Danio rerio: one gene and its partner. The protein of the gene in region 1 purifies or fractionates together with the protein of each later gene. This does not show direct contact. Links are inferred from orthologs where the notes say so. Each region holds a gene or a part of one and is shown on either strand. Other genes may lie near its edges.

The links. The genes of interacting proteins can lie anywhere in the genome.
Region 2: the proteins of dkc1 (region 1) and naf1 purify together in Homo sapiens (co-immunoprecipitation; 7 studies listed by BioGRID and IntAct, counting the BioPlex papers as one, with this or other methods). This does not show direct contact. The link is inferred for Danio rerio from reciprocal best matches to the Homo sapiens genes DKC1 and NAF1.

The regions. Positions count from the first base shown.
Region 1 is NC_133196.1:47,448,981-47,453,832, reverse strand, and holds the start of dkc1 (H/ACA ribonucleoprotein complex subunit DKC1), read right to left. Parts: upstream 3,245-4,852; 5' UTR 3,174-3,244; coding exon 3,158-3,173; intron 2,365-3,157; coding exon 2,312-2,364; intron 1,570-2,311; coding exon 1,483-1,569; intron 1,153-1,482; coding exon 1,061-1,152; intron 1-1,060.
Region 2 is NC_133179.1:10,564,727-10,569,587, forward strand, and holds the start of naf1 (H/ACA ribonucleoprotein complex non-core subunit NAF1), read left to right. Parts: upstream 1-1,657; 5' UTR 1,658-1,677; coding exon 1,678-1,743; intron 1,744-2,899; coding exon 2,900-3,366; intron 3,367-4,192; coding exon 4,193-4,373; intron 4,374-4,861. UniProt on the Homo sapiens protein: RNA-binding protein required for the maturation of box H/ACA snoRNPs complex and ribosome biogenesis.

The DNA.
Region 1 (4,852 bases):
GGCGCTCTTGGCTAGCGTCGGACAGCAGACGGCGCTCTAGGCTAGCGTCGGACAGCAGACGGCGCTCTAGGCTAGCGTCGGACAGCAGACGGCGCTCTAGGCTAGCGTCGGACAGCAGACGGCGCTCTAGGCTAGCGTCGGACAGCAGACGGCGCTCTAGGCTAGCGTCGGACAGCAGACGGCGCTCTAGGCTTGCGTCGGACAGCAGACGGCGCTCTAGGCTAGCGTCGGACAGCAGACGCTGTATCTAGAGTTTAGTCAATTGAGCCAATTGTTTAACAAATAGCTCTAGGCTAGTATTTAACAGTGGACGGCACACTCTAGGCTAGAGATTAACAGGCAGACGCACTGTAGGGTAGCATTTAACAGGCGGAGGGTGCTCTAGGCTAACATTTAACAGGCGGATGGCGCTCTAGGCTAGCGTTTAACAGGCAGACGGCGCTCTAGGCTAGCGTTTAACTGGCGGACTGCGCTCTAGGCTAACATTTAACAGGCGGATGGCGCTCTAGGCTAGCGTTTAACAGGCAGATGGCGCTCTAGGCTAGAGCTTAACAGCAGGCACTGCTCTAGGCTAGCGTTTAACAGGCAGGCAGCACTCTAGGCTAGCGTTTAACAAGCAGATGGTGCTCTAGGCTAGCGTTCAACGGCATACAGCGCTCTAGGCTAGCAATTAACAGGCAGACAGCACTCTAGGCTTACGTTAACCAGCAGACGGCATGCTCTAGGCCAGAGTCGACCAGCAAACAGCATGCTTTGGGCCAGCGTTTACTAGCAGATTGCACACTCTAAGCTAGCGTTTACCAGAGACAGCATGCTCTAAGCCAGCATTTAGTCGATTCTGAGCTTGGAGTTCAACAGAAGGTGCTCTAGATTAGCGTTTACCAGTAGACGGCGCACTCTAAGCTAGAGTTCAACAGCAGATTCATCTGATTCAATGTCCTATGCTAAGCTAAAACATTCGTTTAACTCTAGGGGAGCTGTGAAATTAGCCTATTTTCAAATAAGGTGGAGTTTTTCCTTTTCTTTTAAGAGACGATTACGTTAATCCAAGACTTCATACCTGACATAATCGTGTATGCCCCTCTTGAGAGGATTGGAACCGTGTGGTAGAGGTGTATAATGAGCCGTCCTGATGTTCAGCTTATCAAAGTTCTGCAGACAGACATGTATATAGGTCAATAAAAACACTAAAAGCGACATTAAACGTTTAACCCAAGTATGTGCATGTTGTCAGTCATGTATAATCATCTTGGCCAGAGCCGGTCTGATCCTCCGCACCAGCACATCAGACTCCACAGCAACTGAACCAATAAAACATTGACCCAGCAGTGCAGAATCAGACGGCTGAAACCCTGCGGCCCAGAACAGACTGCAGGGCCGCTTAGAGACAGAACCAGCAGCGCTCGGCGAATGGATAAACAAGTTCATCACGTCACACACCACAGACAAAGTGAGAGGACTTGTGGGTAAACAGAAACTGACCTTAAGCAATAACGGCCATTGAGATGTGTCCAAGCTGGCAACCTTAGACTCAGGTTTAATGAGGAAGTCTCCGCTTTCTTGAATGTCCTGATGGCAAAGGTAGCTTTATTAGGATTTATTTATCATTTTAAATCCATATCAGCAGCACTGGCTATATTCATGGCAAAACCTATACGATATGTACAATATATAACATGCAATCCGATCAGTTTCCTAAACATTCATTGTACAATAAACAGCACTGAGTGTCACATACAATATTTTATTTTGATTATGTACAGTCTGGTGACAGCATTTGGCTTCATTGAATGCCAGTATTGTGATAAAGTTGGTTGTATATTCGCATTTTCAGAGATTCACATTTATTAAATAGTAAAGCAGGATTTAAAAGATTATAATGTACAGTTATGAGCACAAAGCACATTATATTTGTAACCATAACAGTGTAACAATCTCTGTAAGGTGCCCATATTATTAACCATGCTACTTTATTTGGTTTAAAATCACATGCAATGACTGCTAAATAACATTAGCACTATTTAACTGACTGAATGATGTTGTACTGTTAGTCATTGGCTGTTTATTTTGATTTCACCATTTAGAATTTAACAATACTTTCCTGAAATTATATTAAGGTGAAAGTCCAAATGTGCAAATATAAAACCAACCTTACCTCAGGACAGAAAGGAGTGTGAAAGGAATTAACTAGCTTAAAAATAGCCTATACTTGCAAAAATAACCTATACATGCAAAGTCAAATTTAACAGCATATGCCATGGTTAAATCATTTAATAACATTAAACATGCACGTATAAGAAAAGAAAATTACCCCAACTTCTTCATCAGAAATCTTCTTAGACTTCCTTTTCTTCTCTTTCTTACCTGATCCAACAAAAACAAACAAACAAAAATCACGAATGTTTCATAGACATACATTTAGGATAAAAAAAATAAGAGTCCTCCTCCTGTTAAGGGTTGTACATTACTGTGCATTTTTAAGCTAGACCACGTGGCGTGTTGGAGCAGCACGTGGGGTTAAACTTCCAGTTCTAACCTTACAAAAACACCTCTAAAGCTTCATTATTAACATTATACATTACATTAAATCGCTGTGACTTCTCATTATCCGTGTATCAATCTAAAACATTCACTTAAAAATAATAAATGACCTTGATTTTAGGTCTGCATAAACCTGATAAGACTTTACAGTGTCCACAACAAGGACCACTCCCTACATCACAATTATAAATGTGTATTAGCCTATTACATGTGTATTAGTGTTTAATATTAACGTTATTACGGAGTTATTTAACGTTAGTTGCTAAAATGACCAGATATCCAACTTCAGCACATAAATGACCATTTCCAATAATATTTTTATTATGTATACATATAGTTATATTACATTTTACTTGTTTGTTTGCAGAGAAAAGTTCAAAGTTACTACAACTACTAAAAGTAATATTAATTATTGAAGAGGCACTTTTAAAAGCAGATCAGGCTTTGCCTTTTTGCACGCACCCGGCTGCCATGCATGTGGTTGGAGTTAAAACATGTATTTACCACCAATCTTCTACTTACTTACTGTGTTTTCATACAAACAATCTATAATACAAGCTTATTTGCGAGCAACATCTCAACACATGTAGCCAAAATGAATAAAAGACGATCTTACTTTCAGTGTCCGCCATCTTCACCACAGCTGCGCGCTTCTGAACTGCAGCACGTGTGAATGGCCGAGCATGCGCATTTCTCCACACAGGCAGCGCGCGGGCTCACATCTCGGATTTATAGTATCGCGATATTGCGAGAATCAGAATCCACCAAAAACAACGAGAGATGGAGCCGCACGATGGCGCAACATGAAGAGACGCTTCAGGAGAACAGAAACTCCGTTTACAGAAATGTTTTAACTTTAAAGTGCTGTGTAGGACATGTTAAGGGCAGTAATGTATTATTAGGTAATTAATAGCAAGAAAAAATAAATATACTGTAACGGTATATTTGATTTTCTGTAGCTCAAACTGTAAACTGAGGTAAAATGGCCCCCATACACTAACAAATAGTGCTAATTGTTCAAGCTACTTATTTAAAATGAGCTGAATCAACAAGTTTTTTTGGGACAAATTGATTGTTTTATTTTAATCCTCTTACATTTGTAAAATCAATTAAGTTAACTTAATCGATTTGTTTTGGGAAAACATGAAGTAATTGTGTGGAACCCAGTATTAAATATTACAATGATGCTAATAGTAAATTGATGTATATTATTCTGTAAAATGTTTAATAATCAAACATTGTTTTTAAATTGTTTTGACATTTTGAATAATTTACTTTAGCTGGACAACGCAGTCGAAATCAAATTTATTCTATGAACTGTGTAAAGGTGTTTGTAAATGTAATATTTGGGAAACATTTAGGTTGTCATTAAATTAGTTGTCCAAATATGTATGAGGTAAAATGAGGTGTCAAGACATTTGTGCTGCCATTACATTACAAACTAAAAGAGAGGGACAATTCTCCAGCAGGATAGCGCTCCTCATACTTCAGCCTCCACATCAAAGCTCCTGAAGGCAAAGAAGGTCAAGGTGTTCCAGGATTGGCCAGCCCAGTCACCAGATATGAACATTATTGAGCATGTCTGGGGTAAAATAAAGAAGGAGGCATTGAAAATGAATCCAAAGAGTCTTGATGAGCTCTGGGAGTCCTGCACTGCTTTCTTTACCATTCCAGATGACTTTGTTAATCAGTGATTTGAGTCATGTCAGAGATGTATGGATGCAGTCCTCCAAGCTCATGATGGAGTCAGACACAATATTCATTCTGTCTCCACTGCAGCAGGACTTTATATTCTATACTGGACATTATTTCTTTTCAGTGATGAGACTTTAAGCAGAGTCAGACCTTACTGTCCTAATAAAATCATTCAAAATCAAGGCATGATCATATTTGATTTTGGTCAAATAATTGTAATCGGGGCCTTTGCTTTTCATATAAGCCACTCGAATAAAACTTAGATATAGACAACCAAATTTCTGTCAAGTTGTGTATTGTTTTTTTAGACCAAAATATCTTAGAAAAATTAACCAGCTCAGAAAAAATAATGATTTATTAAATAGAAAATAAATTTAAGTCTCTTATATAATCTTTCAAATCAGATTGTGGTGTACTGTGATTTCGAATACGTGGTAAAAGGGCAGAAATTTTATTTATATATGATTTATATTATTTTTATCTAATAACGATATCTTTAAAATCAGTATAATTTAAAAAGAAATGTTAATAGCAGCACATGTGTGTGTGTGTGTGTGTGTGTGTGTATATACTGTATATATATATATATATATATATATATATATATATATATATA
Region 2 (4,861 bases), on another chromosome or scaffold:
TGTTGACAGAATATTTTGTGTGTGTTTTCACACTTATAATGATAATACTAATAATACATATTTATTTTGGACAAATTGGTGTGAAATTAATTGTTATTAAATTACTAATAAAGCGATATATACATACAGAATGTATTAAATTCAAGTAAAGTGTCTACCTTAAGGTTTCTAATAAATTTGAAAAAGAATAAATGCATTCACGTGATAAAATATGTAAAACAAAACACATACACAACACTTTTGACCTTTTAAAACACAAACATCTTTATTATGCCACCATCACTTCTGCTAATAAGCAACTGTTACACTGAGTGACATTTTCTGAACGTGTAAAATCATGGTAAGTGTGTATGTAGACATTATTTATGCTCAAAAGAAATTAATGTACAAGGGTTCAGATGTGCTGTTTTAATGCGCACAGCTGTAGTTTGAGCCTCGTGAATTTTTGTGAAGCCCAATAGCGCTATCTGCTGGTAACTTGTTAATACTACAGCAGCCAGTAATTTGGTTATATTAAATGGTATATAACCTAAATAGAGATCAAATATTAATATAGATTTTTAAAAAAGTACATTTATTGGTGGTACATTTTAGTTGGTAGAGCGGAGGACTGTAGCGGTATCATAACACTGTCATCCTTAGGTCGCTGGTTCGAATCCGGCTCGAAGGAGTGTCTTTATTTACTTCGGTTTATACAGCTTACAATAATAACGTGTTCACATTAGAGACTTCGGGGTTGATTGAAACGAACTCTGTAGCCATTTTTGTAAGTGCGGTTCAGTTTAGACGGGGGAACAGGGACAGGATCTTGGGCAGCCCTGGTTTAAGATTATGAACACTGAACAGCCCCGCGAAATATAATACTTTCAGAAATCTCTGTCAACTTCCAAACAAACTACTACGGATTAACCGAAATATCAGCATAGACACGGAATATAGACGTCTATGGCAAGCCGTTTTAACATTTACTACTTTGTTTTGACTATCCATAAATATATTTAGAGATATCTCTAATTATATTTTGACTAGTCATAATTATAATTCGACTAGTCAGAATGACAATTAGAGATATCTGCAATTACATTTGTACTAGTACGAAATCATATTGGAGATATCTGCAAATATATTGTGACTGGTCATATTCCTCCATTGACTTCCATTGAAAAATATTTGCAGATATCTCTAAATGAGTTTTGACTAGTCACAATTGTGATTAGAGATATCTCTAAATGAATTTCGACTAGTCAATTGTAATTAGAGATATCTCTAACTGAGTTTCTACTAGTCATAAGAAGTCGACTAATTCCGCTGCTCCTGACGTCATTTCATACCCTTCGATAGCTCAGTTGGTAGAGCGGAGGACTGTAGCGGATTATCACTGAAATCCTTAGGTCGCTGGTTCGAATCCGGCTCGAAGGAGATTGTTTTTTCAAACATACGACTCGCATAAGCGTATAATTTCAGCTATGTATTGGTAATTAATGAATGACTGAAATTTTGTTTAGCTTGGCACTGTTGAATAAAATTTTATACAAATGTTCGCTTATTTTGTTTATATTTTAAACATTTAACTTTTGTTTTATCAACAGATATTGTGGCTTTTATTTTGAAAGGCTTTTTTCGGTTCCTGTTCACGTGTAGCCGATGACGTAGAATCATAGCTGAAGCGCTTTCTTCATGCTGTTCACACATGGAGAGCTAAACATGGAGAATTCAAGTACAGAAAACGCAACTTACAGCCAGGTAAAGGATGTTTTATATGCGTATGTGTGTTTCTTATCATTCACAGTCATTGTGGCACACTTGGTAGGTACTAAATATATGTATTGTATCCTCTAAAATGTGCATTTATAATTTAAACTTGAGTGATGAATAATTGAGCATGTGCATCAAGCATGAATAGCTGTAGACTAACTTAGTAAGGTTAGAGGAAGATGCAGCTCAGATTTTAAATAGATTTTTAATATATATTAGATTGCAAGTCACGGCATCAGTAACACCGCCACCCTGCTGAGTTAACTTTAATCTTGCATGCTGATTACTTAAAGAGACACTCAATGTTTTTTTTCCCCCTAAATATAATAATAACCATTAGAATTAATTCAACCATCAGCACCTTTGAGAAATGACAAAGATCATGTGCACTCACATAAGAGAATCACATCAGTTTAATAGAAAATGTTTTATTCCACATGTTCTCTTACGGTGTTAATATCATGCTGAATAATAATAATAATAATACTGATTAGGATTGTATGATATTGCAAAATTCTCATATTGCAATTTTTTATTCTGCGATATGAATACAATTTTACTAAATGAGTTGAACCATTTGGAATGGTTTTATAATTTTAGATTGATTTGGGTGGATTTTGTAGGGAAGTGCATAAAATATAAAAAACAATCTAACAGCGTCGATGAGTTCAATAACGAAAAAGATTCAAATGAAATAAACAGTGTTTTTTTGTTTGCAAGTGTTGGGTTGCAGCTGAAAGTTGGCGGTTCATTCTGCTGTGGCGACCCCTGATTAATAAAGGGACTGAGCCAAAAAGAAAATGAATGAAATTGTATTCAGGTATACAGTAATTGAATAATCAAAAGAAAAATAATACCACTTGGTCTTTGTTTTATAAACAATTCAATAAAAGTGATGGTTATAAAATTAAGAAAGGTACAAATGGTACAATTTCTTAGGCCTTAATGCTTTTAAAACCCTCACACGCCTTAGAAATCACTTGCAAAATTATGAATTTGAATCCAGACTTGCGAATGATGACATTACGATATCGATGCTGAAATGATATATTGTGCATCCCTAATAATAATAATAATAATAATAATAATAATAATTGCTATTTTTTCACATCTATATCTTGCACAAATTTTGTTTCTTTTCCAGGATCAAGATGAGACCAAATCTAAAAAAGACGAAATGGAACTGGATATCAAGACTGAAAACACAGATGTGTTAATTGGACCTACAGATGAACCATGCACCAGTGAACAGAGAGACGATCAGATCTCCAGCATTCAGCCTGAACAATCTAGCAAAGAGAATTCAGAACATCAACTTGTAAAAGAAGAAGATTTTACCAGTGATCATGCTGGACTCACAGGAGAAGATCAGAGCTCCGGTGGTCAACCTGCACTAATAAGAGATGCTTTAACCAGTGATCAGTCTGGACGGGCAGATCAGAGCTCCAATATTAAGTCTGAACCAATCGATGAACAGATCTGTAGTGTTCAGTCTGGTCCAGCAGAGATGCAATATGGGACTGTGGTCAGTCCACAGTCTGGCACTGGATCGTTGGCATTGCTGAGCATGCAGTACAGAGGAAACAGCTCGGATGACAACTGTTCTGACAGGTAAAATCATGCGACATTAAACACTATAGCATCTAGGCATATACTCAATATATTGTAATGATGTCCATGCACACATTGAGTATGGTAGGCACTTCAAGATACAGTGAAGAATATGTATTAATGTGTTGTAGAGTATTAGTAGTTGTTCATCACAGCATCAAATGCATACATGCTTGATTTCAAACAATTTTACATGTTAATCCGAGCTAAAACTGTGAAATGTATTCATTTATAGGCCTTTTGTGTATTAACACTGTACAGTAAGGCTCTTTTTGTTAACCTCAGTTATGTAATGACAACAACAAAAACATTTCATAGTTGGTGCATAATTGCACATTACAATAAAAAGTTGTATTTTTTATTTAAATGGAGTTAATAACTACCACAATTCTGTTGCATTTTTATATAAATGAGTATTTATAAATAAATAAATAAAAATAAATTGCCTGGTAATGACAATTAAAAAAAGCATTTTTCTATCTTTTAGGTGTTGTTAATTTCTTAATTAATGCATATAATAGCATTAAAATCAAAAGTCGTAATCATTTCATCAAATGGAGTTAATAACTAATACAATTAATTTGCATTTTTAAAATGAACTCTATAATTATGATACATGTCTATTTCTCACTGCTGATTTTAATGCATTAACTAATGTTTACCAATGAAATTTTAATGTAAAAGTGTGACCTGGTGTGCTTTCATTTAGATCCTTAGGTCAATATCTGGATAATACCGTATGCGTAAACTGTGATGCTTCAATTATACCCCCCCACCCCCACCCCAGGAATGTTCAATGCTAAATTATTTTATTACTTTTATTTAGTGACTCAGACTCTTCATCCTCCACATCCTCATCTTCATCCTCCTCTTCGTCTTCCTCCTCTGAGCCTTTTGAGGTAGTGATTATGCCGAATAAAGCAGAAGATGATGATGATGATGAAGGTTTTGCCGGGGGCAATAAAAAGTCAGCACCGGTCAAAACACAAGATGAGCTGCTTATTGATGTAAGTTTTAAGATTTTTCTTCTTTTCCAACAGCAATTTATGAACCCAAGCTGATATGTTTCCATCTTTCCCAGTGTATTTGATTAGATTGTGAGTTATTTTACTTATTTGTGATATTAGAGGTGTAATTCAGAGGAGTTTTGTCATCTAGGAATATATAGTTGGTGACGTAACCTAAAAATATATTTATAGTCTTGTTTTAAACATACAACATTATTGCAAAACACTGATGTAGTCTGTTACCAAATTCTTATTGTGTTCCACCATATTATTAATAAACATAATAATATGCAAAGAGTCCAAAAACTCTTCATTGCCACCTGAAAACAATCTTTTTCCTCAGGCTCCTATGTTTATGTTCAGTTATTTCACTATTATGAGAAATAATAGGTTATTTTCATTGCCTTTATTTATAGTTAAAGAACACTTTTGCATCTGAATCCTTCACACATCTTTAATTATTTTAATTAATAAAAATGTTCTTCATT